Schizosaccharomyces pombe: one gene and its partners. The protein of the gene in region 1 interacts with the protein of each later gene in a biochemical or structural test. Each region holds a gene or a part of one and is shown on either strand. Other genes may lie near its edges.

Region 1 (7,365 bases):
AGACGTATTGATACCCATCACAATTTAAAAAGTGCTGAAAATATCCAAAAAAAAAAAAACAAGGTATGAAATGGAATGAAATTAAATTTAAAAAAAATACCTTTACCAAGATTAAGGAATCTTGCACAAAACCTTTGAGAAGAGGGTATGGATGAAGAAAATGAAAAGAACTTCTAATTTAACAAATTTAATTTTTGGGGAAAAATGACCCAAAATGGACTAAAGAAAGCCAACCGCAACTTCTACACCTTTTTTTTACGATATTAGCATGAAGAAATCAACAAGGCTAATCAATAATTGAATAGCGTTAGCTTTAAATAAATTCAACGGAAGAAATCCTTGCTTCTCAAGAGAACGGCTCGAGTTTGCTGTGTGCGTGCAAGTTGAGAGAAATAAGCGGGAGGCAAATTGGTGGAGCAAACCACATATCTAATTTATACAACCGAAAACATGGTTTTGACTGTGAAGCCGGCAAAACTAACAAATGCATTTTACTGACTAAAATATCTTTCATATCTTTTGTTTTTAAAAACCGCATATTGGCAAAAAATTTCTAAATCGATAGGTAGATCCTTCGAAAATCCCAATTGATCGACTAGTAAGCGAGGCCGAATAATATGGCGATGAATGCACAATTCATTCAATGTTTATGAATGAGCACTTTGAAAATGGATATTCCATGAAAGATAGATAATAGAAAATCGGTATTAAATGTATTTGATTTTGTAGTCTTTCATCTATCTGTCTAATAATGGTTTGCAACATCGATGTTTATGATATTACAAATTGTTTTTAGGAACTTTTTTCTTATAGTTGATATAAAACTAATATAATAGGGTCGAAAGCGATTCATTTTAACTCATCGATTAATTCAAATTTTGATGTGTTAGTCTAATCCTGGATTTATTTACATGGGCAAAGATTTTTATCAAGGACAAATAGTATTTCAATGCCCAATTCATTTGGTTCCAGATTTTTTGAAAAACTTTTTTTTAAATGTTTTTATTTTCTTTCACATATACTCTGTTACCGATTCGATTTAAAATATTATTGAGCAAAAGCAGTATGCAAGGGTATTGGAATAATATTGACAAAAGCAAGGTATGAAACTTTAAAAAAAACAAATTAGATTTTATTTTATTTTTTTAAGTATAAGAGTTTACGTCTCGTTCTTTTACAGCAGCACCCCATTTTCGAATCGTATGTGTAACGAAATTTTTGAATTTAATTGTAAACATTACTTAAAATCAACACTGTTTTAAGATATTTTTTTGCTTTTTAAAAATAAGCAACAAGTTAAATAGAGACCGCTTTTATTGGAAACAGCAAGCATACACTTACCAAAACTCAACTCCTATTCTTATAACAGTTTTAGAGAGACATAATACTCGTTAGCATAATACACAGTCAAACAATAAAATAATAAATTGGTAATTGTTTAGTTACATTGTCTAGACAGAAAGAAGCAAGATGTGGGGAATTTCCGAGTTTTTACCTTGAGCTTTAACGAACAATTTTTAGCCCTTTAAAAATCGATACTTTAGTCGGTTGCATTCTCTACGTCGTTTTACTAATATAATCAACTCTCGTGCTGTGTTCGTTTTTTCAACTTTTGGTTGCTTCATAAAAACCATATTATTTATTTCAAACAAAGTAATATAACCTCGTCTGTACTAGCTGAATCCGATAAATGCCTTCAAACTTCATTCTTATATTTATTTCATACAATGATAATTTTGCTAACCCACACCCCTTCACTTACCCAGTCCCAGACACATCAAAATTTGCTCAAAATGGGTAAAGGTAAGTTCAATAAGATATTTTTAGGTTCTAATAAATCTTTAGTTTCTTTAAAAGATGAATTGGCAGGGATGCTAAACCCTCAACCGCAGGGTATGTTATTAACGAAAAATTCCGGGATTCTTACTCACATAAATAGAAAGAGACCCTGAAGCTTTAGAGGACGCATTCTCTGATAGAGAGGACTCTAGCGAAGAAGAAAACGATACCTTAGGGAGAGAACATTATGTTGATGTTAGGTATGTTCAAAATTTTTACTTTTGCGTATTTGAGCTTATACTAATGTTTCATATTTTATAGTGAAAGTAAATTACGCTCAAAACAGGCTCCTCAGTTAGACCCAAAATTTAAAGGAAGAAAAACGTCTCGCCAGGAATTACTTAATAGCGGTTCTTTAAACTCTCAATCTTCATCACCATCTGAAGAAGAAGATTCGGAGGAAGACGAAAATGATGCAGTTTCAGAAGATCACGAAAATTTTTCAAGCTCAGAAGCTTCATCAATTTCTGAGGAAAATGAAGATGACGACCAATCTTCTGCCATTCCTGAAAAAGACATGGATCGTTTAAAAAAGATTATAAATGGAGAGAAAAAGCTATCTGATCAAATTCGTACATCCGCCCTTGAAGACATGAAAAAGGGTTTAGCTTTGAAGGAGCAGATGCGTTTTTACGATAATGTTTTAGATACTAGAATCCGTCTTCAAAAAGGATGTAGTCAACTTCTTTCTTCCAGCAACCAACTTCAAGGTGATAAAGTAGAAGCCCGAGATGGTTTAGTATCTTTTATTCAACACACTTTACAGCTGAGGAAAAACTTACTTATTGACTCTGGAGTGGAAATTCTTGACAGTAGATCAAAAAGAAAAGAGAATCCTGTTAGTCTAGAAGAAATTGCTTTAGAAATGAATAACCTTGACGACTCTTTGAATGAGTGGAAAAATGATACTTTAACCAAATGGCATAATCGGGTTCAAGCAGTGCAAGGGATTTCGCAATCTAACAAATTCAAGGCTCTAAATCAAAGTATTGTTCAACAAATCGAAAATTCTATGATTAACAAGAAAGATTTGGTCGAGCGCACTAGAATTGATTACAGTGACCCTAACAACAAAACTTTCAATCCCGAAATTTACAACGACACGGATTTTTATCAATCATTATTGAAGGATTTCATTAATTCTAGAATGGCAGACTCTACTCGAGATGGCACTGTTCGTTGGATGGCTACAAAAAAGCAAAAACAGAAGAAAGAAAACGTTGATACTAAGGCATCCAAAGGTCGAAAAATAAGGTATCACGTTCATGATAAATTACAAAATTTTATGGCTCCCATTGAAGTGACTGTATGGCCGGATGAACAAACTGAAGATTTGTTTAGTAGTCTGTTGGGTCAACAATTAGATTTATCAGAGACAGCTAATGATACAAATACTTCAAACTTCGTGGAGAAGGATGATGAACTGATCTCTTCCAACGACGGATTTTCTCTCTTCGGTTGAAAATAAGCTTGTGCGTGTTGGATAAGCTTCACTATTTGTCTTTTTTTTAATATACGCAAGCTGTGCTAAACATTTAGGGTGCATGATTATTTTTACTTACAGTATATCTTTTTTCGGTTTTAAAAAGGGCATTCGCGGATTTTGGTTCTATTATAATATATTTCGTTTACAATTATTTAGGTTAATAAAAAAATTTAACATATATATGGTTACATAGATGGTCACAATGTCGGGCAATTACAAGTAATAAAGGGTTATCTTGGGCTGAAGGTTTTAGTTTTTGTGCACTTTAGTATTTTAAGCATAAAAGTATGTACGTTTATATGATGTACAGTTGAACTCTTTCTGCTGCAAATTAAAAGCAGCTATAAGTTTCTTCTTATTACAATTCATTGTGTATATACAGATTATTTTGCGATTGATGTTGGCCATTACACTTTCGTACAAATTTCGGCGCGCGTGTCTATACTAATATAAGTGCGTTAAAGCAGGTGCTAGAAAACACCACATTATAGATTTACCTCTGTATATACCAGTTTCAATTCTGTTTGTCAAAAATTGTCGAGATTTATTTACTTCTATTAGCATGAATTAAGAAATTAATCGTCATATCGACTAGAAACTATCGTTATTCGTTCAGCATTCGTCTACATCAATTCACGTACTGGTATATAAAATGGAATTCACTGTTTCAAATGTTAATCTTCGGGACCTCGCAAGGATCTTTACAAATCTTTCTAGAATCGATGATGCTGTCAACTGGGAAATTAACAAAAATCAGGTGTGTTGGAACTTTTTTCAAACCTTACTAAACATTGAAACTAATTGGTAAAGATAGAGATTACATGTTTAAATTCTTCTAGGTCAGGATTTAGCATGGTGACTTTAAAAAAGGCATTTTTTGACAAGTACATTTTTCAGCCGGATTCCGTCCTGTTGACGGGATTGATGACTCCTACAATACGTATTCGTACGCAAGTCAAGCCCATACTATCTGTGTTTAGAAACAAAATCTTTGATTTCATCCCGACTGTCGTCACTACCAATAGCAAGAACGGTTATGGCAGTGAATCTGCAAGCAGAAAAGATGTGATTGTCGAGAATGTTCAAATCTCAATCTCTACTGGTAGCGAGTGTAGGATTATATTTAAATTCTTATGCAAGCACGGTACGTAGTTTGTCCGTCTTATTATTTTATTTGCTCTACTAACGTTTATTCATCAAGGAGTGATTAAAACATATAAAATATCATATGAACAAACCCAAACTTTACACGCTGTTTTTGATAAATCTCTTAGTCACAATAATTTTCAAATAAACTCAAAAATTCTAAAAGATTTGACTGAACATTTTGGTCAGAGAACGGAAGAGCTTACAATTCAACCACTTCAAGAACGTGTTTTACTTACAAGTTTCACAGAAGAGGTCGTACATAATAGAGATATTTTGAAGCAACCTACCCAAACAACTGTTTCCATTGATGGTAAAGAATTTGAACGCGTCGCACTTAATGAGGGAGTCTCTGTTACCCTTTCTCTACGTGAATTTCGTGCTGCCGTCATTTTAGCAGAGGCATTGGGAAGCTCGATTTGTGCATATTACGGTGTCCCAGGAAAACCGATACTTTTAACTTTTGCAAAAGGGAAAAATTCCGAAATTGAAGCGCAGTTCATTCTTGCAACTGTAGTTGGATCAGATGAACAAGAGGTGTCATCTATGATGGGAAATAGATGGCAGCACAGTTCAACACCAGCTTCTCTGTTCAATTCAGTAGAGCGCAACAACTCATTGACTGCTGTAGCACATAATCCCCCTGGATCTATTGGATGGCAAACTGATGTATGTAATTCGGCTTTAGTACTAAGTACAATAATTTATTAACATTAACTTTATAGCAAAGTGACTCATCCAGAATGTTTAATTCTGCGCTTGACCGAAGCGACGAAACTAATGGCATTAAGGAGCCATCAACCACAAACGATGCTGGTCAATCATTGTTCTTAGATGGTATTCCTAATGAATCCGAGCTTGCTGCTTTTAATAATGATGTGAACGATGATGCCGAATTTGGACCAACGCAAGCTGAACAAAGTTATCATGGCATTTTCTCTCAGGAAGACTAGGAAAATCCTTCTTTGCTATGGTGTGTAAAATTATGAACATTTACAGGTGCTTGTGACAACCTCATAAAACACAGCACTCATATTATATAATGTACAATATTTATCAATAATTTAGTTTTTTTTAACTACAAAATTACCCTCATCATACGATACGTTACATAGTAGTTCTAATAAATCAATAAGATAGTGAATAATGTAACCCAATTAATTAAATTCCAATCCACGGCCTATAAAAAGTCTAATATACATTTTTGCATTTTCATCTGAATGCAAAATTTAAGTCATTACACGAACTCAAAGAAAGTTTTAAACTTGTTTCTTAATCAATTCGTTAATTTCTTCTCCACAATAGCCAGCCTTTCGACCCTCATTAAAATGTTTGACCTTTTTCTCCATCAAACTGTGTTTAACTGGAGTCAAAGTGAATGGCCATAAGAATTTAGTAACTTCCTTAAAATGAGAGCCTACATTGTAAATTTCATGAATGATATCTTCAATGGAAATAACATCATATTTGCCCAAGGCCTCCTCAATTAATGCATTATCAGAGAGAGCAATACGCTGACCATTGATCTTACCAAAGCCACGTTTATAAATGAGTTCACGAACAGAATGTAAATTGGGAATACCATACATAACATAAGGTTCGACGATTCGAAGCATTTGAGCAACGGCTTTATTATTTCGCACAAAAACGGCATTGTTAATTCGAGAAAGGCGTAATAAGCGCAGAACTTTGCGAATTTTAGGAGGCATATTCTTGACTCCGGCAATTCGAATAACGAAAAGAAGTTTTGTTTCATCAGGCACGAAAATGTCTCCTTTATTTTTCGCAGATCGATTTAACCTAATCCGTTCTCTTTCTCGTTGGCGGTAGTTATTAATAAAAGTCTCAGCCCTTTTGAAGGTTTCTTTACGATTTTTCTTCTGGGCCTGGAGTAAAATTAGTAAAATGTTTTTAACAATATATAAAAATTGATGAAGTCAAAGGTTTAAATTTAACCAATACAAAATATATGAATCAGCCGAAAGATGGTATTTTGGAGCAGCATCGTCGAAACTAGCAATCCAAGAGTGAAAGGTTCATCTTTTTCATATAAATATGTATATTATGGATATTTCAAACCTGTAGAACAAGCAATTCACATACCTCTTTTTTGGCAATAGCCTGCTCAACACGTTCTTTCCGAGTACGCTCATTGACCTTGCGCTTTTTTAAAAGCACCTCAGGTTCAAGCATAGTCTGTTGTACAACCGGTGCATCCTCCGCCATTTTATCGTCTGTTAGTAACGAGTAGAGGGCACGTTGGGACTATAGACAGACGAAAAATTATAGCTATGAAATGTGACTGCTTTAAGACACATAATGTTCTTCGTTACAATCCGCTAATAAGCGCAAAAAAATTTTGAAGCGATTTTCAAATAGGCTTTGAAATGTGTACTTAAAGGTAAAAAATGGTGTTTAAAAACTATGGCAAATTTAATTTGACAATATAACAAAAATTGCACAATAGTAGATTGCTCCTTCCATATCGAAGCATCTCTTTCTAATAACCAAGACCAAACTTTATCTAATTGACCTTGTACCATTGAAATTCATGTTTAAAAGATATACAAACGATTTTAATAGGAATATTATCAATGTTGAATGTAATCACCTGGTGCTCAAACTCCTCAGGGACGTGGGATATGGAGATGATAAATTTTGCACAACATTAATCGAAACAGTGCGAAAACACATGAGAAGTTGAATAATTGTATTATTAGCCCTTAACTTCTTAGGGTAGCCGTTTAAATGTCATTCATCCTAAACTGAAAAAAAAAATGTGACATTGATGAAATATAGTTTTCCACACGCAATTTATGTAAAATAATCATATACATTTATAAAAATCAGAAAGCAATTATTAAAAGGAAACAATTGATAAACACAAATTTACA
Region 2 (8,193 bases), 660 kb from region 1:
ATGTGATTGCTTTCGAGCTTCAACGTATATATAACCGACCAGCGAGTCACGTTGAAATGCTGAAATGATTTCTAATGGAGAGCTAGTATATTGCAAATCCATAGCTTTCCGCATTATGGTAAAAACAATATCCTTTTCTTTGCCAATTTTACAGCGAACAGCCCAAATATTGGGATCATTCACTGAAGGAAGTAGAAGACGTTGGGGAACATTGCTTGTATCTCCAACAACAGTTTGGCTACGACCATACTTTTCACGATACTCCTCAGCAAGGCGTTCAGCATCAACAGATTGTAGTTCCTGTCTTTGACGGTCAAGTTCACGATGGCGACGATCATCACCGACGTAATCCGCTCCAACTTCTTCTTCAATGAAACCATCTTCACGACCAATTTCATCTTCCTCATCTTCAAGCTCTTCCTCGTCCTCATCTACTTCTGCTTCAATATCAAGGAATTGGTTGCGGCGGTCATGGCGAGCCCTTTTTCTTCTACCGCCACCTGATTCATCTTCATCTTCCTCGTCTTCCTCATCATCTTCTTCATCCTCTTCTTCCTCTTCGTTTGCATCAGCTTCTTCCTCGTTTTCTTCAACATTATCCTCATCTTCTTTTTTGTCATTGTTATTTACATTATCGACTTCGTTTTCATTCCCATCTTCGCCTTTATTAATTGTGGTATCATTTGGACTTTCGTTATGGGAATCCACGGGAGAACTCTGTTTTTCATTTGTAGTAATTTTAGCAGCTTCAGAATCATCATTCAGCAAGTCACTTCCATTGGGGGATGCACGGGTAGAATTGATTTTAACTGAAGCAGCATCTTGCTCAGCTGCATCTACCTCAGTCGAATTTGCATCTTTATCAATAGATTTCGGAGAATTCGTATCCATTGTGACTTAAAAAAGAGGAAATAGTACCTATTCCCTCAATGCTTTGTTTTTAGACCTTTAATCTAATATAGGCGATAGGTTCGCCGATTAATGAACTTTTTATTCAACAAGTGGTGTTTTGTTAAAGGTGACTTACAGTACGTACTGCTGCCCTATTTTACCAAGCAAGTAGGTCTTGTATGGCTTGCAGCGACAAGAGTATAGATATACGAAAGAAGCAATTTAGAATGGAATACTTACGGTTTTTTTGTAAAATCAAACTTTTGCTTTAAAAGTATTTGCTTTAATGGTAAGCTTGAGCAATTGCCACTGCTGGTAAACAAACTTGTATACACGAAATGCCATACACAATCTTAAAGTTAGACTTGGTTTAATTGAAATTAAAGATAATGGGATGCTCAGATTATCAATAAATTCATCTTACATTTAAATTGTAATATTATGTTATATTCCATATAACTATGAACCCTTTAGGGCAATATCCCTTTGCGTTACTAAAATCCAATATAAATATTAAACTGGATAAGAGGATATTTTTTACCGAGAGAATATAGGACAAAGGTGGTGTCCATATACTATCTTCTTACTCAATAAATCTTATAATTATGATACAGGTTAAATGAGGAATAATATAATAGCCAGCTCTTGGTGCTTGTTCATAATTTCCCCCAAACCAATGATGCTACTCAGCTATACAGCATCGTGTACATTGCCAATACAGTCGAGTTTTTCGAATAAATGCTTAAAATTTAATTTTGGCCTTTTATGACTCTCCATTTGTCAATCTTCGCACCCACCACGGTAGCATATAACAACTTGGTTTTAGCTTCAATCTACTCTTAACCTTCGAAAGTCGATTTTCTCTAAACATTCTTTATTTTCCCTTTTAAACATTACCAATTTTTGCATTTCCTCACAATAATATGTAGTGGTGATGGACGCGTTTGTACTCGTAAATTACCTATACCTACTCACCTAGAACTCATAAATGTCGGTAGTGAAAGAATGGGTTCTTCTAAACCACTCAAAGGCTTCGTGATATGTTGTACCAGTATCGATTTAAAGCAAAGGGTAAGATTTTTGCACGACGAATCGCATTTTTTGTTATTTGTGTTACTAACTTGACAGACCGAGATATCTACAAAAGCAACTAAACTTGGTGCTGCCTATAGATCAGACTTTACTAAGGATGTCACGCATCTTATAGCCGGCGATTTTGATACTCCAAAATACAAGGTATGTCGTAAAATCTTACAAATTACACTATCCTTCAAGAGTAAATGCTGACATTCTTTTCAATAGTTTGCCGCAAAATCCAGACCAGACATAAAGATTATGTCTAGTGAATGGATACCTGTTCTTTATGAAAGCTGGGTACAGGGAGAAGATCTGGATGATGGCCTGCTCGTCGATAAACACTTTCTACCAACTCTATTTAAATGCCGGGTTTGTCTTACCAACATTGGCCAACCAGAGAGATCTCGTATTGAAAATTATGTGCTTAAGCATGGTGGTACATTTTGCCCTGACTTAACTAGAGACGTAACTCATTTAATAGCTGGCACCTCATCGGGTCGCAAATATGAATATGCATTAAAGTGGAAAATCAACGTAGTTTGCGTTGAATGGTTATGGCAAAGTATACAAAGGAATGCTGTCCTTGAGCCGCAGTATTTCCAATTGGATATGCCAGCCGAAAAAATTGGACTTGGCGCGTATGTTCGTCTAGATCCCAATACTACGGAGGCAAAGTCTTATTCTGAAAACCAAAAAATAAGCAAGAATAAAGAAAAGTCTGGTCAATCCTTGGCTGCATTGGCGGAGGAAGCGGATTTAGAACCCGTGATTATGAAACGGGGAAAGAAGAGAGATAGAAGTATTTTATGGGAAGAACTTAATAATGGAAAATTTGAATTTTCCAGCCGTTCTGAAGAAAATTCAGTACTACTGGATGATTTCACTCCCGAAACTGTTCAACCCTTAGAAGAAAACGAATTAGATACGGAACTCAACATCGAAAACGAAGCTAAACTTTTTAAAAATTTGACTTTTTATCTTTACGAGTTTCCAAACACTAAGGTCTCCAGGCTTCATAAATGTTTGAGCGATAATGGAGGCCAGATTTCTGAATTTTTGTCTTCTACCATTGATTTTGTCGTTATACCTCATTATTTCCCTGTCGATGAATTGCCCATCTTCTCATTTCCTACAGTTAATGAGTGGTGGATAGAAAGGTGTCTTTATTACAAAAAAATCTTTGGAATCGATGAACATGCCTTAGCAAAACCTTTTTTTCGTCCATCTCTGGTTCCTTATTTTAATGGTCTTAGCATTCATCTTACTGGATTTAAGGGGGAAGAACTTTCGCATTTGAAGAAGGCTCTCACCATCTTGGGAGCAGTTGTGCATGAATTTCTTGGGGTCCAACGAAGTATTTTGTTGGTAAACACAAATGAACCTTTCAGTATGAAAACTAGATTTAAAATACAACATGCTACAGAATGGAACGTTAGAGTCGTCGGAGTAGCTTGGTTATGGAACATCATTCAAAGCGGAAAATTCATTGATCAAGTTTCTCCATGGGCTATCGATAAGAAAGAAAATCAAGAAATAAAAAAATTTACAAACCAAAATAATATGGTATTTCCAACGTCTGATAGAGATACACGATTACAAAATTCTCTTGCTCAGCAGCCAATAGGACATTCTACGCCTCATAATTCTCCTTCCTTATTATCGGTTAAAAAGCGCCAAAACAACCATATTAGGTCTAATACATTGATTCAACTAAATTCTAATTCAAAAGATTCAACCATATTTCCTCGGAGATCCGTGACAGTACCGGGCGACAAGATTGATACTGTTTGGAAGTCATCAGTTACAAAACCAGAAACTCCGACATCTCCACAAGAGCATGTTTCATATATAGATCCAGACGCTCAACGTGAGAAACATAAGCTTTATGCTCAGTTGACTTCTAATGTAGATGCTATCCCGCCTGCTAATGATCTCCAAAATCAAGAAAATGGGCTTCTATTAATTACCGAGAGTCATCGAAAACTCCGTAGGCGTTGAAACATTGTTTATTTATATGTATAGTTTATGTCAAGTTTAATTATTTTTACACGTCCATTCCAAATAATTCCAACGAAAGATTTCTTAAAGTTAGTAACAAAAAACATTAAACGTGACTTACTGCTTCTCTTTTCTAGCAAGCATTAAATTACAGCTCGTAGGGCTTCGCCAGATAGGCTGTAATATTAACATATCCATGAGTGCACCATCTTTTGTTTGAGCATCCACTCTAAGGATGTTACATCCTAGAGGCATTTTTTCAAATTCCTTTTTTAACATTCCGCTCTCAGAAAACTGCTCAACATGTGGGTACTCGTTTTTAACCAAAATTTTTAAATCTTTTAACCCAGCATCGTAAAAATGCTTCTCGTTTAAGAAAGGGCTAATGATATTGACACCGTTACTATGAATACGAAAATTGCAAATATCTTTGTTAGCTTTTAGCGAGAAATCTTTCAACAGTTGACTGATTTCCTGCTTTACAAAGAATCTAACACCGCCGTGCACGAATTTCACACGATTCGTGTTGGCTTCAATAATTTCTTTGAACAAAGAACATGCAAAATAAATTGATCTAACGGGAATACCGCTTTGATTTCTAACAAAAAATTGATCACGGGGAAAACTAGGATCGATACCATAAAAATCACTATGGGTTAGTTTGCCTGCCATGGTAATATAACTTACACAATAGTTTTGATGCTAGTATCATCAGGATTAATGTATACGAAGGGCTCTTCATCAAAATAACTGTTGCCAGATTTAGTTAATGTAGAATTAGAAGCTTCGTCAACACCCTTTTCCGTCCTTTGTCTCTTGTTCTCGGGTGGTAGAATTTCCATACTAGCAGTATACTTTTTGGGATCAAACGAACGGGAATTAATAGGATCAGTTTTTTGGAGTACGGCCACAAAAAAACCACCAGTATTCTGCATATGGGGATATAGTCTGGCACTATTAAGAGATTAGAAAATGATAAAGTTTCAAAGTTCTCATCCAGGCAAATAAACCTACCATCTTTCTATGTGGAGTTTGCTCATTTCCTCCTCAGGAAGAGGCCACATGGATTCGGTTAACTCGATCTTATCATTGGTGTTCTCAGCAGGTGATTGAAATTCGTTAAGAGAATCATCCAAAACCTTCCAAGATAAAAGACCGGGATCACGCTTAAGTAGGGGTAGTTTTTTAGACACATCAACAAGAGAAACTGCACCACCAGTAGCCTTCAATGCAGCTGTTACAACAGCTTCATTTTCTATGGGATTAATGGAGCATGTTGAGTAAACCAAACAACCACCCACTTTTAAAAGTTGCAATCCTCTGATCAAAATTCTCAATTGCAAAGGGTGAAGGCTAAAGGCGCTATTGGCACTCCATTCCCTCCAAAGAGACAAATTTTTGCGGAAAGTGCCATCTCCTGAACAAGGCACGTCGGCTAAAATACGGTCAAACTTTAAAATTTTTTTTTCTTCAATTACATTTAAGCCGTCAGAAGGAGATGAACCTTTGACATAGATATTGGGCATTGTCGATGCATCGTGATTAACAACCAAAATATTCGGGGAATTTAAACGATTGATTTGGTGAACAAGCATTTGGGCTCGTTTGGGATCAGCGTCATTAGCAATTACAAGACCTTCAACACTCTTGAGATTTTTGCTGTCATGAGCAGCATCCTTGATATTGGCTTTTTTATAAACAGCTTCAATAAGCTGCGCAGTCTTAGATCCCGGAGCAGCACACATATCCAGAATTACATGATGTGGCTCAACGTCTAAGAATAGAGGAGGAAGCATGCTAACCGCTTCTTGACGATTAATGTTTCCAGCTTCATTTTCACTTACAAGAAACCGCTGAAGTCGTTTAAGAGGCGGGCTCTTTCGAATAACATCTTTTTGCGCATCGACAATATATGCAAGACCATCTGGGTACCAAGGCAGCACTGTTGGAGGTGGAATAGTTTGACCCTCATGGACGACATTTTTAAGGCTTGGTACGTAGTATTTTTCAAAATGGTTTTTTAGTTCAAAAGCATGGTGACGATATCCACAAATACGAAATGTAGTTGGTAAGGGCTTTCTCATATATTCCATAAAGCTATCAAACTCATCATTTGGCTTTCCTCGAAATAAATTTTGCTTTTTATAGTAACCTTCGAATTGTTTATTTCTGCATGTTAGCTGACTATTTCCTACAATAATGATCTTTTCAATGTATTTCTTAAAAATATCCCAATAAAGCTTTAAACCCCGTAAAAAAGCACCTTTGTACACTTACTCTAAGACAATTTCACTTTTGTCATTGTAAGCCCTTTTGCCCTGAGTCACCTATCTTTGTTAAAAAAAAAAAAGAAGGCCGATTAACAAAGTATCATACCTTTTTATTTCTTTTCCCCATTACAAACAATAATTTACTCACAAACCAGAGTTCAGTGTTTACTAGACATAAAAATTCAACTTCAATAGTGTTAAGCAAACTTTGCAATGCAATGTGTCTTTATTTTTTATTTACGAGACCTAGCACTTCTTTGAAAAAATGTTTATCGCTAAAATAACGATAAAGATCATGCTAACTAAGGTTCTGACGCTGAACAAAACTGCTGATTTGCATTTGTATTTGGAAGGTCTTGGTGACTTTAAAAACAGAAAATTCAGATTGGACATCTAAATTCTTCCAACTGACTTTAAAAATGTTTACGTTGATATCGTTATCAGTATGCGTATGTAGGAGAATATATCCATATATGACTTTATTCTTTTAGGGAAACAACAAGAGCTGCGCATACTGCTAATATAGTTAAATTTCAAGCGTTCATTATTGCCATTAAATAGGTTACCGCTAAGCATGGGAATAAAAAGCACCTAATGTGCTACTATAAAGCGAAGGATGATTAATTCATACCTTGTCCTCCATAGCAAAACATGTTACATTTGCAAAGTCTTTTCTGAGAAGGAACATTGCCGTATTTAGGAACAATATAAATAAATCTTACAATCATAGCATTATTATAGTCTAAGGCTCCGGTATCGTTATGAAGAACATGTCACAAAACCTGTATGCCATACATTCATCCTAAATTCACAAATTACAGTGTCCATTACCTAGATATTATATCAAATAGCGACATTATCAGCATACAACACCACGCTATGATGCGTAACTTACTGCAGTGTAATGTATTAATTATTGCTTACCAAAGGCGTTAAGTAACTTAAAACATCTATTTATGAGCAACATAAACGAGTTAAGCATGTACATGAGCTGATAAAGCATAATCATTGAATTATCCCATTGTATTTATTAGAATTGAGGATTAGATTCGCATAACGTTTTTCGGTTGCTCTTTTAAACAAAAGGAAAGCAAACTATTCATGCAATGTCTCAATTGCTATTCTTGAGGCGCTTTTTCTTCCTTTTTTGTTTCATCATTAGGATTAGTTGTACAGGAGTATTTGAAAGTGTTATCAAATCTTCGGAAAATGTGCCTGATAAGGTTAATGTCAAATTACAGCATGTATTTCATTACGGACTCAATGAGGACAGTATATCATATTATCGACTAGATGTGGCCAAGAAAAGTGTTTACGCAGAGAGTGAATCAAAATTGCCGTTGAAAATGAAGAAAGGATATTCCGTTCACTTGAAGGATCAGTCTCGCGATGCGTTGACTGATTATAGATATAAGTCTATGAAAGGAATTTATTCTGAAGCGAATTCACCAGCTGATTTATGGGAACAGGAAGCAATCGTGATTCCTGATATTACTGATAAAGAAACGATTTACTCCCTTGGAAAGATGAGCTACAATGCTTACCAAAAAATTCCTTTCGACGGGGACTGGTTAGATTTAGGACCTGATTGGAATATAACTCCACCTGAAGGATTTGGTTGGGAGGAAGATGGTCTACGTGGACATGTTTTTTCCAATGATGACAATTCCACTATAATTATTGCGATGAAAGGTACGTCCATCTTCGGAATCGGACGCGGTACCTCGCAGAAGGATCGCGTTAATGACAATTTACTTTTTTCCTGTTGTTGCGCTCGTGTCAGCTGGGCTTGGTCTACGGTTTGTGGTTGCTATAAAAATACATACACCTGTAGTCAAACTTGCCTTGAGGATGAAGTGCAAGATGACTCAAGGTATTATTCTGCATCATTGGATATTTTTTATAGTGTTAAAGAATTATACCCTGATGCACAGATTTGGCTGACTGGACACTCATT
Region 3 (7,229 bases), on another chromosome or scaffold:
GTATGACTCATTAATGTTTTTTAATTCATTTTAATATTATTCATGTTATGTGTTGGTTGTATTTGTCTGTCTTGTGTAAATTTTGGTTGTATTCGTGGGTTTTAAAAACCTGCTGTTTACTTAATTTTGAATTATCGAAATTTCTTCCATTTTTTAGTGTTATAGGGACAGCTTGTTTGTCGGACAGGATACTCAATGGGTTTAACAAGCTACGTTCATTTCTATTTTGTCACTATTATGGCTGTAATGTGAAATATCATAGTTGATTGTGCCGTGGATAAAAGAAAAAATCCTAGTGTTCTTTGCTCTGTCTTCTCCACGGGTATTAACAATGCACATGCTGTATGTCGTTTAACGTTTAGATGCATTTCATATTTGTTCACCTTATCGTTATCTCTGTTGTATCTATTAAGTTCCCACACTGGGGCACTAAAATGGTGCGGAAGGATCCTATAATCGTAGGAGTCGTTGGTGTTTCTCTGCAATATCCGAGGATCTTATCTTATAAAAGGAGGTATACGGCACATTGCAAAAGAAAGTCAATTATCAAAATTGTATTGTAATTTTGTTTCCAGACAATTTTACCCTTGTTTATTTTGTTACGGTAAGTATTAAAAAATATGATGTCGGGAATGAAGAAACGATGAGAGCGATTAAGTGACATACAAACGATTTATTAGATTGGAATTGAAATTTACGTTCGTTTGGCGTAAATTCTATGATCGTGCTACCAAATATGTAGAAATAGACTTTGGTATTAAAGGAGGATTGACAATAAGCGAGTCGAGCAGTAAGTAATTATATTCTTGGGCAAAAATTTTTTTGTCATAAGACATGCACTGCCGATTTCATTTTTCTTAGGCAAAGTAGAAAAGCTCCGCAGCAATCTTAGAAAGAAAGGCAGTTTGTAAATAGAATCAAACAATCGTTACCACCGATGAGACCAAGTATTTTTGGCTTGGACGAGCTTTACTGTTTTTGAAGACCAAATATTCTAAGCCTAATAAAAACGCCTTGCTATGTGAGGGATAAATCTTTTTTTTCTTGTTACAAGTCTTGCCTTGAATTGTCTATTCTATTTATCGACGGTAATTTTAGCGCTTCGGAACCAAGAAAAGTGATGTAGTTTTTTCTGCACAAAACGGTAATATATTTTTGCGTGGTTTTATTCTAAACATCGAAAAGCTCCGGTTTCTTTAACTATCTCATCTTCCACTGAGTGATAAAGTCACCAACATTAGCACATTCGGGGGATTTTGAAATGTTTTCTCTCAACTGTCAAGCTACAAGATGTGTTTCTTCTTGTTTTACATTTAATATTTTTTATCTTAAAAAAGCAGCAGAATTCATAGCATCAATCAATATCTAACTAGTTGCTTCTGTTTTTGTTTTAAGGAGAGCTCGTTTATACTCCCTAAAATCACCTTGGATATGGGATTTCGAGTCGGTTACGACATTGGGGTTTATCATTTGTTGTTGTTACTTTAAAATAAGTTGTTTATGATACTTATGTTACGTGAAGAAACTATGCTTACTCCATCAGACGCTTATATATCCTGGGCACACACACATAGTGCTTTCACCAACCTTCTACTTACACCAACTACCTACTTAACCATCTTCATTGGCAGCTTAGACCTATTACATCTTTTCGTCGTTTAGTGTCTTTACGTTTTTCGTTTGTTGCTTGGAAAATATCATTACGTTTAAGTGTGTAATCGTGTGCTTTTCAGCGTTGTTGGACAAATTATCATCTGTTCCATCCCGTTTCCCATCGTTCTCATTTCCACAGCGTGGAAAACGACATCTACATTTCTTTGACTATTAAAATTTAAAATTAACGTTAGGTTTTTTAAGATTAATTAAGGAGTCTGTTGAATTACTCTATCGATCGTTATCGGCTGTTTGTTTGTTCGTATCGATACTTTTTCTAACTAACTGACTCATCGTTCGTAATTCCATCTTCCTACGGTTTTTGTACCATTATTTAATTAGTTGGCAAATTCTTCCTTCACCTTTCCCACTATCGTATCACATTTGCTCTATTCAGCTTCATTATTGCTCTGGCTAGTTTAGCTGTATTGATTTTCAGCGTTATTTTTCTTTTGTAAAAATGCAAGTCACCATTCCTAAATCTACTTCTAAGGAAGACGATAAAAATCGGAATTTGCTTCCAAAAAATGTTAAACCCATCCACTATGATTTGAGTTTATATCCAGATTTGGAGACGTTCACTTACGGCGGTAAAGTCGTCGTTACCTTGGATGTACTTGAGGACAGCAACAGTATTACTCTACATGGCATTAACCTTCGTATTTTGACGGCTGCGTTAGAATGGGGCAGCCAAACCGTCTGGGCCAGCGAAGTCTCTTATGGGGATGAGCGTATCGTTCTTCAATTTCCCTCCACTGTCCCAGCCAACTCTGTTGCTGTTTTGACGTTGCCTTTCACTGCCCGTATTTCCAGTGGCATGGAGGGTTTCTACCGCTCTAGTTACGTTGACAGCGATGGTAATACCAAGTATCTTGCCACGACCCAGATGGAGCCTACTAGTGCTCGTCGTGCTTTCCCCTGCTGGGATGAACCTGCTTTGAAAGCTACCTTTACCATCGATATCACTGCTAAGGAAAACTATACTATCCTTAGTAACATGAATGCCGTTGAGGAAACTGTCAAGGATGGTTTGAAAACTGCCCGTTTTGCCGAAACTTGCCGAATGTCCACTTACCTTTTGGCTTGGATTGTTGCCGAACTCGAATACGTTGAGTATTTCACCCCTGGCAAGCATTGCCCCCGTCTTCCTGTTCGTGTTTATACTACACCTGGGTTTTCCGAACAGGGTAAATTTGCTGCGGAATTAGGTGCTAAGACCTTAGACTTCTTCTCTGGTGTATTTGGCGAGCCATATCCTTTACCCAAATGCGATATGGTTGCTATTCCTGATTTTGAAGCAGGTGCTATGGAAAATTGGGGTTTAGTTACCTACAGACTTGCTGCCATCTTGGTTTCTGAGGATTCCGCTGCTACTGTAATTGAACGTGTAGCCGAAGTTGTACAACACGAATTAGCCCATCAGTGGTTTGGTAATCTTGTTACCATGCAATTTTGGGACGGCTTATGGCTTAATGAGGGTTTCGCTACCTGGATGTCATGGTTTAGCTGTAACCATTTTTACCCTGAATGGAAGGTTTGGGAATCTTATGTTACAGACAACCTTCAATCTGCTCTTTCGTTGGATGCACTTCGTTCCAGTCATCCTATTGAAGTTCCCATTATGCACGATTACGAAATTAACCAAATATTTGACGCTATCTCTTACTCTAAAGGTTCTTGTGTTATCCGCATGGTTAGCAAGTATGTTGGCGAAGATACGTTTATTAAGGGTATTCAAAAATACATTTCTAAGCACCGTTATGGTAACACAGTTACGGAAGACTTATGGGCTGCCTTGTCGGCAGAATCAGGTCAGGACATCTCTTCCACTATGCACAATTGGACTAAGAAGACAGGTTATCCCGTGCTATCCGTTTCTGAAACCAATGATGGAGAGCTTTTAATTGAGCAACATCGATTTTTGTCAACAGGAGACGTTAAACCCGAAGAAGATACTGTAATTTATTGGGCCCCCTTAAAACTTAAAACGATGAAGGATGGTAAAGCAGTTGTTGATGAAAAAGCTGTGCTTTCAGACCGATCCAAGAAAATTAAAGTTGATAAAGAGGCTCTCGAATCTTATAAGCTAAACTCTGAACAATCTGGTATCTACCGTGTTAACTATTCTGCCGATCATTTAAAGAAGTTATCTCAAATTGCGGTTGAAAAGCCAGATTATCTTAGTGTCGAGGATCGTGCTGGTTTAATTGCCGACGTCGCTTCTCTCTCGAGAGCTGGCTACGGTAAAGTTAGCAGCACTTTAGATCTTATCAAAACTTGGAAAGACGAGCCTAACTTTGTAGTCTTTGCTGAGATGCTTGCCCGCTTGAATGGTATAAAGTCCACTTTACGTTTCGAAAGTTCTGATATCATTGCTGCAATGAAAAAGTTAGTTCTGGAGGTTTCTGCTACTAAAGCCCATTCACTCGGCTGGGAATTCAAGGCAAATGACGATCATATCATTCGCCAATTTAAGAGTACAGTATACAATTATGCCGGTTTGTTTGGTGATGATAAGGTGGTTAAGGATGCACTTTCCAAGTTTGATGCTTACGCGTCTGGTAATAAGTCCGCCATTAATGATAATTTGAGATCCGCCGTATTTAACATTGCAATTCGTTATGGTGGTGCTAAGTCGTGGGATCAACTTCTTGAAATTTATACTAAAACTAATGATCCTTATGTCCGTAATAGTTGTTTGAGAGCCTTTGGTGTTACTGAAGATGAAAAGTATATTCAAAAAACTTTGGATTTAACCCTTGACCCTATTGTCAAGGAACAAGATATTTATCTTATTTTGGTTACATTGAGTACTCACAAAAACGGTGTTTTGGCAATGTGGAAGTTTGCTACTTCTAACTGGGATAAGTTGCTTTCAAGACTTCCTGTTGCTGGTACAATGCGTGGCTACGTTGTGAGATTCGTAACAAGTGGATTCACTCATGCCTCCGCTATTGATAAAATTAAGGAATTTTTTGCCGATAAAGATACGAAGTTGTATGAACGTGCACTTCAACAATCTTTGGACACTATTTCTGCTAATTCAAGTTTCATCGACAAATCACTGGATGATATCACTCGCTGGCTTAAGGAGAATCGTTATATGTAAGTCTTTGCATATTTAGAAACGGTATGTGGTGAATGCTTAAATTGTGGCATTTGAAACTGTCAAGTTGATCACCATGTTTTTATGAACGATGACTACTGCAAGTTATGTATATACTGATGGACGACGCCTTTACTTAGATTGCATACATCTATGAAATTTTGATTTTTGAAACTGACGTAAAATACATTTAAAGTTTTATAAATTTATGTTATAACAGTATGTTGTTTACTCCACACTGGCACTTTACTATTTTCAGTATACACCGACATCAACTAAAGGTGTGCAAAACGAAGGTGAATTACTGAATATTAACTGGAACTAATGTAACTTTAATTTCAATCATATAATAAAACGCTAATATAATAAATTTCTCGTATCGTCGGCCCTTACGCCAATCGCCTAAATTAATAGGACATAAGAGTAAGGTTCTTTATCAACGAGTTTTGATCTCGAGGTCGCAAAGTCTAAAAAGACTCTGGCAGTAGCATACGTACTAATTCACATAACCACCGTGGCTGACCCCTTAACTTTTTGATTAAAGAATAATGTAGCAAGCGCACTTGTTTATATAGTAAATTACATTTTTTAATAGGGTAGGGTTGTGACTACCTTAACGACTCGGAGCTGGTACTGTCATATCGCTGGTTTGAAATAACGAAATTTAAGGAGAAATTTAGCCGATTTCAAGGAATATTTTGATTGTATCTACATTTACTTGAAAAGACTTAATGTGTTTGTTGCAGATAGATGAGCATCGATTATACTTATATTTTTAGTGACTCAAAAAATCTCTAGCTGGTTTAAAAATGCATAAATTAAAAAAAATTAGAACGTAGAAAGAACTATGTTAACAATAGATGGCGGTTAAAACAAATTGAGAAAAGATTATAAAGAACGAAGCATTAGTAGATATGAAACATGTGTAAACGTTACGTTACGCACGGATCAAATAAATGAAACATAAACGAAGAATAATGCATATGCAAAGAATAACGATAGAGGAGAAACGATTAAACGTCCAAAGAAGGTAAAGGAATTGTTGCCTGAAGACACGAAAGTCGTTCAGTTTCTATCAAGGCACTGCAATTGGCACGATGTTCATACATTTTTTTAAACCAATTGCTTACCGTCGACAAGAGAGGGATGCTTTTAAGCTTATGGACGGCAATGGCGTCAATGCGTAAATAGCTTTGACGATAATTAAAACCTTCGTTGGGTAAAATCAAATCATACAATGTGCATTTAGAGAATTCCGCATTTTTTACATTACCGGAAAGGTAAATGCTATAGCCGGTCTGAGCATCTTCAAACGGAATAATAATATTACGGCGTTTAGCCACCTCATAAGCCATATCAGGAGATACTATATAGAAGAACCCGCACATGTACGGGAAGTCACGAACAGCGGTAGGTAATTCTCTTCGTGTGCAATCCCTTCCAAAATAAAAGCGGCTTTTCCCAACGTGCTCTTTCAACATTTCAAACAGACGGGGTAAATTCAAGAAAGAATCGTCATCGGCTTTAACAATAAAATCGTAGTCATGCTTTGGCTCGCCGAGATCTTGGAATTCCTTCATACCAGGCAACTCATATGTCTTAATACTTTGATTATATATAAAACTACCATGAAACTGAGTGCTGGGCATTATAAGATTATCTGCAAGTTCAGAAAAAAGAGGAAACGGCTGGTAGCCCTCTAAAAATGTTTGGAAGTATACAATGGACTTTCCAGCATCCACATTCTCCGGAATAGGTAGTACTGCTAAGTCACCATACGTTCGCTGCTCTTCGCGAATGGTAGCTAATTCCTGCTCATTCTCAGGTAAACCAAGGATAAATCTAACATCCACAGTATCATTTACGGCAAACTCCTTAATATATTCATTATAGTCGGTACGTAAAAAGTTACGCCTATCCACGTTCTTAGCTTGACTAAAAATCCCCAAATACAGTTTGAAAGGTCTGTCGTTCGCATGGGCAAGCGATTCATTTTGCTTAATGAAGGGATCTAAAAACAAATTCTCTACGTAGGCGAGTGAATGTTCTTCGGCCTGTAGACGATTTAGTACAAGAAAAGCAAAGGAAAAAGTAGCAACACCGGCAATTAGCACGTAAAGAAAAATTTTTTTTTTAGAATTTGAAAACATAGTGAAAGAGTTTAATTAAACGAGCACGTTGCGCCAGGAGGTCAATTAGAGAGACGTGAATATTAATTGTCCCTTTGAATAAAAGAATAAAATAAAACCAAACTTAAAGATCGTTGAGAATTAAACAAAAGACTCCTTGAATATATGAGCCAGCAAACAGAATATAACTCTGAAAGGAGTATAATGTTTGGTTCTGAAAACAAAGCTGTGCTTGGTGCCATATTCACGTCCACCATAAATACGCAGTCATAATGTAACCAGAAGAGCAGCTACTCAAACCCTTAATGCCCTCATAGCGTTGGTAACTATAAATGCGTTAA

The links. The genes of interacting proteins can lie anywhere in the genome.
Region 2: the proteins of rad9 (region 1) and rad4 form a complex in vitro, tested with the Schizosaccharomyces pombe proteins (2 studies listed by BioGRID).
Region 3: the proteins of rad9 (region 1) and ape2 form a complex in vitro, tested with the Schizosaccharomyces pombe proteins (one study listed by BioGRID).

The regions. Positions count from the first base shown.
Region 1 is NC_003424.3:1,712,149-1,719,513, reverse strand, and holds rad9 (checkpoint clamp complex protein Rad9), read left to right. Parts: upstream 1-3,797; 5' UTR 3,798-3,977; coding exon 3,978-4,082; exon of another isoform or gene 4,083-4,135; coding exon 4,136-4,469; exon of another isoform or gene 4,470-4,526; coding exon 4,527-5,140; exon of another isoform or gene 5,141-5,196; coding exon 5,197-5,424; 3' UTR 5,425-5,594; downstream 5,595-7,365. Other genes in the region: gamma-glutamyltranspeptidase Ggt1, read right to left, coding at 1-18; bfr2 (traub family ribosome biogenesis protein), read left to right, coding at 1,794-1,803, 1,846-1,893, 1,940-2,039, 2,101-3,301; ribosome biogenesis protein rlp7, read right to left, coding at 5,731-6,357, 6,575-6,697. UniProt on the Schizosaccharomyces pombe protein: Acts in DNA repair and mutagenesis. Involved in promoting resistance to ionizing radiation and UV light, as well as regulating cell cycle progression after irradiation. Repressor of entry into mitosis that is activated by chromosome breaks.
Region 2 is NC_003424.3:1,056,565-1,064,757, reverse strand, and holds rad4 (BRCT domain protein Rad4), read left to right. Parts: upstream 1-1,845; 5' UTR 1,846-1,896; coding exon 1,897-1,962; intron 1,963-2,019; coding exon 2,020-2,127; intron 2,128-2,193; coding exon 2,194-3,966; 3' UTR 3,967-4,012; coding exon of another isoform or gene 4,013-4,049; 3' UTR 4,050-4,087; coding exon of another isoform or gene 4,088-4,615; 3' UTR 4,616-4,653; coding exon of another isoform or gene 4,654-4,920; 3' UTR 4,921-4,980; downstream 4,981-8,193. Other genes in the region: DSIF transcription elongation factor complex subunit Spt5, read right to left, coding at 1-891; trm402 (tRNA (cytosine-5-)-methyltransferase), read right to left, coding at 4,013-4,049, 4,088-4,615, 4,654-4,920, 4,981-6,135, 6,244-6,293, 6,343-6,363; autophagy-associated lipase Atg15, read left to right, coding at 7,343-8,193. UniProt on the Schizosaccharomyces pombe protein: Essential component for DNA replication and also the checkpoint control system which couples S and M phases. May directly or indirectly interact with chromatin proteins to form the complex required for the initiation and/or progression of DNA synthesis.
Region 3 is NC_003423.3:2,411,394-2,418,622, forward strand, and holds ape2 (aminopeptidase Ape2), read left to right. Parts: upstream 1-1,584; 5' UTR 1,585-2,113; coding exon 2,114-4,762; 3' UTR 4,763-5,148; downstream 5,149-7,229. Other genes in the region: SPOM_SPBC1921.04C (uncharacterized protein), read right to left, coding at 1-11; pvg3 (galactosylxylosylprotein 3-beta-galactosyltransferase Pvg1), read right to left, coding at 5,773-6,909.